2 linked regions of the Tribolium castaneum genome follow. The protein of the gene in region 1 binds, or shares a complex with, the protein of each later gene. Links are inferred from orthologs where the notes say so. Each region holds a gene or a part of one and is shown on either strand. Other genes may lie near its edges.

Evidence for each region.
Region 2: the proteins of GAA1 (region 1) and PIG-U are in contact, whole or in part, in a cryo-EM structure (PDB 8IMX), measured with the Homo sapiens proteins. The link is inferred for Tribolium castaneum from reciprocal best matches to the Homo sapiens genes GPAA1 and PIGU. Residues at the interface, in NP_003792.1 of Homo sapiens: Gln245, Leu310, Arg311, Arg313, Phe358, Leu359, Ile371, Ala389, Leu390, Trp393, His397, Leu500, Ile504, Leu508, Cys512, Leu515, Thr516; in NP_536724.1 of Homo sapiens: Tyr349, Ile355, Phe356, Cys360, Ile363, Val364, Leu367, Leu368, Val371, Leu372, Leu375, Ile377, Tyr378, Ala379, Gly380, Ser381, Phe386.

What each region holds. Positions count from the first base shown.
Region 1 is NC_087396.1:13,608,701-13,613,286, reverse strand, and holds GAA1 (glycosylphosphatidylinositol anchor attachment 1 protein), read left to right. Parts: upstream 1-1,479; 5' UTR 1,480-1,635; coding exon 1,636-1,995; intron 1,996-2,045; coding exon 2,046-2,205; intron 2,206-2,592; coding exon 2,593-2,987; intron 2,988-3,034; coding exon 3,035-3,248; intron 3,249-3,412; coding exon 3,413-4,293; 3' UTR 4,294-4,328; downstream 4,329-4,586. Other genes in the region: zinc finger protein PLAG1, read left to right, coding at 1-343. UniProt on the Homo sapiens protein: Component of the glycosylphosphatidylinositol-anchor (GPI-anchor) transamidase (GPI-T) complex that catalyzes the formation of the linkage between a proprotein and a GPI-anchor and participates in GPI anchored protein biosynthesis. Binds GPI-anchor.
Region 2 is NC_087396.1:9,929,081-9,932,585, reverse strand, and holds PIG-U (phosphatidylinositol glycan anchor biosynthesis class U protein), read right to left. Parts: upstream 2,258-3,505; 5' UTR 2,086-2,257; coding exon 757-2,085; 3' UTR 711-756; downstream 1-710. UniProt on the Homo sapiens protein: Component of the glycosylphosphatidylinositol-anchor (GPI-anchor) transamidase (GPI-T) complex that catalyzes the formation of the linkage between a proprotein and a GPI-anchor and participates in GPI anchored protein biosynthesis.

The sequences.
Region 1 (4,586 bases):
ACAAATTGATCTATCGTTTGAAGATGTGAGTAGCATATTGCAAGAGGAGACTTTCGATCCGTTGACGCGGTTTTTGGAGCCGGACACGGAGGGGAATTTAACGTTTCTGCCCTCGCCGGAGTCACAGGAAGAACTAAAAGACTTGGGAAGCACGATTTTGGAGGAAATTGGGGAACCTTCGATGATAGGAGAGAGTTTAACTGACCCTGACGAGGAAATACTAGGTCAAAGTGTTTTAAATAATCCTGAATTACAAAGACTGCTAGAACCGTCGGAAGATAAAAATTTACCTCTGCCCGGGTTTAGTCAAACTTTTCAACCTCCTCCTCCACCTCCTCCGTAATATCTTTCTACAAGATATGCATACCATAATTGTGTTCGTAAAATAGGTGGCACACAGCTAAATTATCATTGTATGGTATGTTAAGTTACCAACTGAAATTATAACCTTTTTCGATTGGCAATATTTTCACCAATTCCAAAAAAGTTACCAGGATACGTAACCAGATTCAAACATGTATTGTTCTAGTCTTGCTAAAATTGTTCTCGTCTTCTTTATTCATTTAGGCAGCTCATTAACGTGTGAATATTGCCAAAAATTAATAACGTTATTGAGATTTTACAAAAATATTGTTTATGTTGCTAAATTATTTTACGTTTGTTTCGACAATTGCACAGCTGTTTGACTTTTACTCAAAATTATGTTACAATAGAGTTTCACATAATCGGTTGAGAAGAAAAGGAGTACTTACGTGGAACGGGATAATTGAATTGTATGCTACGTGCAATTGTTATAACGATATTAGGCATAATTTGATCTGAGAAACACTTAATATGTTGTGTTGTAAATTTATATTTATTTGTTAAATTGTTTCCAAAGTTATTTACCACTGGTGCTAAAATCCATCTGAAAACAATTGACAATTATTGTATATTATTGTTATGCTATGAGAATTATTAGATATTTTCTATTGTTAAATTTTACCAATCAAGCATATCTGTAAAAAGTACTTTCACCACTTAACACGATCAAGTACAAAATTGGAAATTTCATTGACTCGTGGCTAAATTAAATTTAATTTATTATGAAACAGGTGTGATATCCAACGTAGCCAAAAGTCAATGACACACTAATTCTTTCAGTTTACATTTTCCGATACTAATGAAATAATCTACCTCATTTTGCAACAATTCATTGCTGTACAATCAGCTAGTCATAGTTGTAAGTCTATCTGTATGATGTTAAAACATAGTTTTTTATACATACTGTATATTATAAAAAGTAATATATTTTACCAATGTATATAATTATTCATATGAGTCTATTTTAAAATATGTACATTTTATTTTTATACATGAAATTATAGTATTATTTATATATTCACATCCGAGTTTATTTTAAAATTACCCCTTTATCTTGGCCACTTCGTTTGTGGCTTCAAAGGCGGGCAGTTTTAAACCGCTGGTGTTTTTTTAGACAGTTGCGTTGGTAGCAACCAAACGTCAAGTTATCTACTCTAAGGTTATGTTAATGTAAACAAAAATTATCTAAACGGCTCCTGTAATGTAATTAGTGGCTAATTTTGACTGTGAAGTTTCAATTCCAGCTCTTTTTTGGATAAAGTTTAAGTCACGATGGGTTTGCTAACAGATCCCAGTGCCGGTCAGGGAAAACTAACCAAAGCCCTTCTTAAATATTACACAAAACTATGTGTCTTGCTATACATAGGCGGAATCGGTTGGTTCTGTTCCCTTGCGTACACCCCCATGAACGCAGGGACGTATTTTTCCGAAAACGCCCTTTTGCCAGGACTCGTCAAATCAGAGTTTCGGGAAGACGCAATCGCAAAAACTTACCACAGCGAGCTTTTGGACGAAATGAAGAAATACGAAGACTCCATTCCGTATCCCTGGCTTTTAGCCAAAATGAAGCAAATTGGATTAGATACCTACACTCACAACTTTACACTGAATTATCCGCTGGGAAAACCCCAAGTAATTACTTCTAACAAAACTTGGCGGTTGAATATTTAATGTTTTTTTAGAAATTTGTTGGTAAAAACGTTTATGGTATTTTACGAGCGGCACGGGCTTCCAGCACTGAAGCTTTAGTCTTAAGTGTGCCATATAGACCCCCTTTGAGCGTCCACGCCACCACCGCACCTTCCATTGCCATAATGTTGGCATTTGCCAAGTTTGCCAATAGTATGTCGATTTATTGTTCAGGGTGCGGGGAAAAACGCAAAAGTTATGAGGGGGTGGTTTTTTAAATTAATATCGGAAAAATCTCTAATGGGTACCCATGTTTTAAATTTTTATAAAATTATTAAAATTAAATCAACGAGCATTGCAATGATGACTATTAAGACACGAGTTAGATTTAGATTAATTTTACTCTGTCGTACTATTTTTTATTTATTTTTTTTTGGTTTAGAAAATCTACATGTAGTACATGTAGTATCATGAATAAATTAATGTGTGGGAGTCCTTAGTCTAGGAATTCCTACGGCATCGCTCCTTCAAATTTTTGGCGTTTTTTTCTAGACACTTGTGTACTTGTGTATGCATTTGTCCTTCAGGATATTCTTCTAGGAGAGAAATATTGGGCCAAGGATATTATATTTTTAATTACTGAACACGAGCAGTTAGGAATGCAAGCTTGGCTGGAAGCCTACCATGGAGTAGCCTGTGGCAATGACGGTACTTTAGACCATGGTGACATTAAGGGACGTGCAGGTGCCATACAAGCCGCTATTAATTTAGAATTGCACGAAACGGCAATTAGCCAAGTGGATATCAAAATTGAAGGTTTAAATGGTCAACTGCCCAACTTGGATTTGTTTAACTTAGCCGCTAAAATGCTGCTCAAAGAGGGAGTACCGCATACTTTTAAAAACAGGCCCAACAAACACTTGAAAGATCCCGTAAACGACTGGTTTTACTCATTCCAGACTTTATTAGCCATGATTTCAACTCAGGCTACCGGGGTACACATCACTTATTGTGTGAGAAAATTTTAAGTAAAAAATTTTAGATACCAAATGGAAATCATGGCCTTTATCACCGTTTTGGCATAGAAGCCCTGACTCTTGAAAGCACCCCCTTAAAAGGGGGCAATAAAGCCGGATTCCCAATTGTGGGCCGCATTATTGAAGGGATATTCCGTAGCTTGAATAACCTTTTAGAGCGTTTCCATCAAAGCTTTTTCTTCTACTTGTTACCTTCATCAGAGAGATTTATTTCAATTGGTAAATAACTTTTTTTGCACAATTTTTTTTATACAAAGTGGTCAAAAGTAATTGTTTGTGTTGGCAGTAGTTATTTTTAGTTGGCCCTAGTGTAAACGTGATATCACATTGAATTTTGATCACTTTGTACAAAAATAAGGGGTCTAATAAACATCTGAACTTAGGGCTATACATGCCTGCTATCTGTTTGATTGCGGGGGCTCTCTTCATCAAAGCATGCGCCAATTGGTGCCAACTTCAGGAGAACCAAGCGGAGACGGAAGACGAGAAGACAAAAACCCCCGAGACGAAAAAACAAGTCAAGAGCAGCGTGAAACCGCGCGATTCGAAAAATTATTGGAAAGAAATGGAAACGCGATTCCAGACCGAAATTCAAACTCACAACCCTCCAGATCCCGATTCCGTTAACTTTATTTCAATCCTTTGCGTATTTCTAATGTCTCATGTTCTGGGGGTATTGATTATGAACAGCCCTCAGCTATTAACGACGCTAGGTGGCCAATATAATTACTCAACCGATGCGTCTTTGTTTTACGGGTTTATAGCCATATCTGTGGTGTTGCTAACAATGCCGCTTTTTATCCCCTTCAAAGCTTGCGAGAAGAGTATGTCGGTGTTAAATATTTTATCGCTTTTGGAATTAGGCACAACTTTAATTTGCGTTTCCATGAATAATTTTTCTCTGGCATTATTTTGCGCCATTATTTATGTACCGTTGGCTCTAATTATCGGGATTACGCGGTGTAGGCTATGCTCTGCCATCAAAAAAATTGTGTGGTTGCTGGCACATCCTCTAGTCGTGCTTACCGCTACCGTGTTAGTATACACATTTTTCATGTTCCCCGGTGAAAAATTCGAAGATAATTTTCATAGGGGCGTAGCGGCGACTCAACAGGCAATCGTTTTCAGTATAGTGGATTCTATGATTTATGGAAATTGGCTCTTTAGCGTCGTTACTAGTGTTTTTATTTCCAACTGGTTGTGTTTCTGGATCGTTGCGTTTGCGAAAGTGCCGCAGGACATTCCAAAGAAGAAAATCGATTAAATGTACTTTTTTTTAATAAAGTGTTGGATTTTTAATCACTTGTTTGAGATTATACACTCCATTAAACCTTTCAACCGTTTTATTAAGTTCTGGGTGGAAAATTGGGAAGCAAACTTTATAAAAGGTTGAACCTTGACACATTTCACTTGCAGCAAATGAGGGAATTCGGCTGTTTAAGATTAATTTTTCCGCTTTCACCGGCAGGAGTGGGGAGCTGTTTTCAACTATGCCAAATCGATTTTTTTTGTTAGAAAGAATGAGATTTGTTTGTTTAGAAAAACGAAAAACAATTT
Region 2 (3,505 bases), about 3.7 Mb from region 1:
TGTGTGTGTTTTGAGGTTATGTATTTAAAATAAAAAATGACGAAATTTGATTTAAAAAAAATTCTCCTTGATGAGGAAAGAAAAAAGATTTGGAAAGAATCAGTCGACCAGGAAGAATACGGAGAAAATGTGGAAATATTTGAAAAACTCCAGAAAAGAAATTTAGAAGTGGTCACGAAAAAGAATAAACGATTTGCGAGTAAACAAACAAGAAACGTGAGCAAAGAAGGAAAAATCAGTAAAAAAAAGGCCAAAAAGTGGAGAGAAGGAAACAGTGACACAAAATGTCCGGAAGTGTGTGTAAAAGAACTTCTTTTGCTTATTCATTGTTTAGAAAATAACACACTTATTACGAGAAAAGAGGCTCAAGATTGTATAGAACGTCAAAGTTCAGCATTTGACCTCTTCTGGGACTCACCAACACAGATCTTAAGACTTGTAAGAAAATGTGTTTTAACCCAAGAATGGTCAAAGATGACCTACCTTTTACTGGTGCTTTTAAATTTTGACAGGAAATACATTAATATTATTAAAAATGTAATGAATTGTACTTTTTATTACAATATTTATAACTACTTTAATTTCAGATGGTCAAAATTATGATCAAGTTTAATCCACTAATAAGGGAAAGTGGATTAGAAAACCAGTTCAAAATGTTAGTCGAATCATCAAACAAGTCTATAATTATATAATAAATAAATAAAACAATATTTGTACAAAAGTCTTATTTATTGTGGTTAACATCTAGATCACAAATCACTCTAAAATCAGCAAGGCGTCCTTTCCATCAATCTTCCTCTCCTTGCCATGATTCAAACAAAACTCGCGCTTCAAATACGCGAACAAAATATCAGTCACAAGAAAAATCTGTGCAATGGCAAAGGCCAAAGTGACTCCGAAATAAAAGTTCGCATTTGCGGAGTTTGAATAAATCCACAAATGCCACAAAATCGGACCCAAAGCTGTCGTAATAAGAAAAATCACCCCAACTAAAAATCCCTGCTGGGAGTAATTGAACAAGTGTATGAAACAGGGCAAAAGACTCAACACGAACCCAACATCGCCCAGACACGGATACGACTTAAAAACAGAAATCAGACACAAAATCGCGAACGTTAGCAAAAACGGGTCTTTGCGAAATTTGACCGACAGTGGAATTAAATACAAAACGGTTGCGTTTATTTGAAACGAGCTGATGAACAAGTCGCGAAAGTGGTCGAACATTTCGGTGAAAAAATACCAAAACAAGCCAATATTTGGCTGCAAGTCTGGAACTGTTAGAATGAAACCGTACACGTTTTTCATAAATGCGGTTCCGTTGCTTAAACCAATCGAAATGGTTATAAAAGCCGCAAGTGTGGCGATAAACAAAATCGGGGTGAGAATCGCCCGAAATTTGCTTTTGTAAATTCCGTTAGAGTACAAAAACAGTGGGATAATTAACACAATGGGGTAGAAAGACATCATTGTGCATATTGCCAGAGACAGTACACTCAAAATAACGCTACCGCTTAACATACAGAACAAAAACAAAGCGATGAAAAAATTATGGAACACGACAGTTGACTGTCCAACGCAGTTAAAAATCGTGTATGGATTAAACAGAAACGCCGATGCGACAAAAACGGGCGAATTGACGAAATCAGAGCCCGATAACAGGAACTCCTTACTGTTCAGAGCATATTGTTTTTTATTCTCTTCTTGTTCAATAAATAAGTGAAACATGTATTTCTTCGCGACGAAATACAATACCACGGCCGTTCCCGCATCAAAGGCGAGAAAAATAGTCTTAATGTCCAACTTCCACCACTGTGTCAACACTTTATAAAATAATATTGTTATCGGAGCTTCATGAAGTAAGTCCCCTTCGTATGGATTGATACCTTTGGACTGGAGACAAAGCCCTTCGGACACTCGCTTCCAGGAGTTCAGAGGTGTAGATATTTCGATGTGGTTCGCAATTATGGACTGATATCTCGAAAACATGAGCCAATACCGGATACCAAGCCCCGTCAAGTACATGAATAAAACGGTTCCGCCTTTGTAGCAGTCTTGCTCACATTTTTCGGTTTTCCCATGTGCCATTATTTTACACTTTTCAGGGGCAGTTTTCGGAAATATTGGCGATTACCGGCCCACTAAATAATTGAATAAAGTGAGGTTAGTATCGTGACAGGAACAGGAGTGACATTGTGGCTAAAGCAACGAGCAATACAAACATGAACTAATTTGTGCTAAAAGTAAATGGAATTACATTGGCACATTTTTATTACAGTTTGAATAAAACAAAACAATGTTTGATAAATTAATGGTTACTGTACAAAAAACGTGGTTTTGTCCGCCTATAAATTAGTCAATCATGAATACGCGCGACTTGTCTCCAAGTTTCAATGCTTTTCTTCTGGCCGTTCAAAATTCAGATTGTTTGCAAAATTTTGACTCGATTTGCACGAAATTTTGCTCAAAAATAATTAATTAAGCAGGAAAAAGTGCTACTAGTCGTTTAAGGTTGACTGCTTTTTTTTGGTAGGATTGGAAAATTTGAAAAACTAGGAATCATTAAACAGCGAAGACGGATTTTGAATGCTCAGACAATTTTATGCCAAACAGGTTTACTTTTGACATCAATTTTTGGTTTTTGTGATCGTGATTAATTTTTTGATTAGTAGATAAATTAGTATACAGGTGCTCAAAAACTGGCGCACCAACTCAGTGGTACGTTATTGATAAGCAAGTGCAGATTACGGGAAAAATATTGAAAAAATTCCTAAAGTTATATTTTAAAAAATCTGGAGCTACAAACTTATTGTGTTAACTTCTTTAGTTTTCATTATTTTTTTATGTTTTATGTTTCATACCAGGTAATCGTTCCGTAACAAAACGATGAATAATTATTTTTAAATTTACTATTAGATTTTAGCAGTTTTTTTAATTTAAAAAAATTAAAATTTATCCAAAAAATCACAATGTGTAGATGTGCCAACACTGGGAATTATTTCCTAGGAAACCGTTTCAAAAATAATTTATTTTTATTGTTGCTCAAATTCTATTGCGATTATGACTGTTAGACAACGTTGCCACATATCATTTATCTAAAATCCGTTATTTATCAATAACTTTAATACAAAGAATTTTTTTACTATTTTTACCTTTATATGTAACCAGTTCTCTATCACACACCATTGAGTTGGTGCGCCAGTTTTTGAGCACGCTGTAGAGGCAAATTTTTGTTTTATTCGAATTATTTGTACCACTTCGCTTAATTGCCACAAATTTTTACCTAAAATTAAATAGTTTTCTAGTAAAATGTGTTACAAGTTGTTTTAGATTAATTTCTATTTTTTTTTAGTAGAATGGAAAAATTTAAATTGGTAGTATTTCATCTAATCGTATCCTAAAACCACGTTCCTTACAACAAAAATAAGAAGAGATTTGGGATCTTTAAAGAATTCTACGCCAAATAAGCATATTTTAATTAAATTTTTGGTTATTATAATATTGTTAT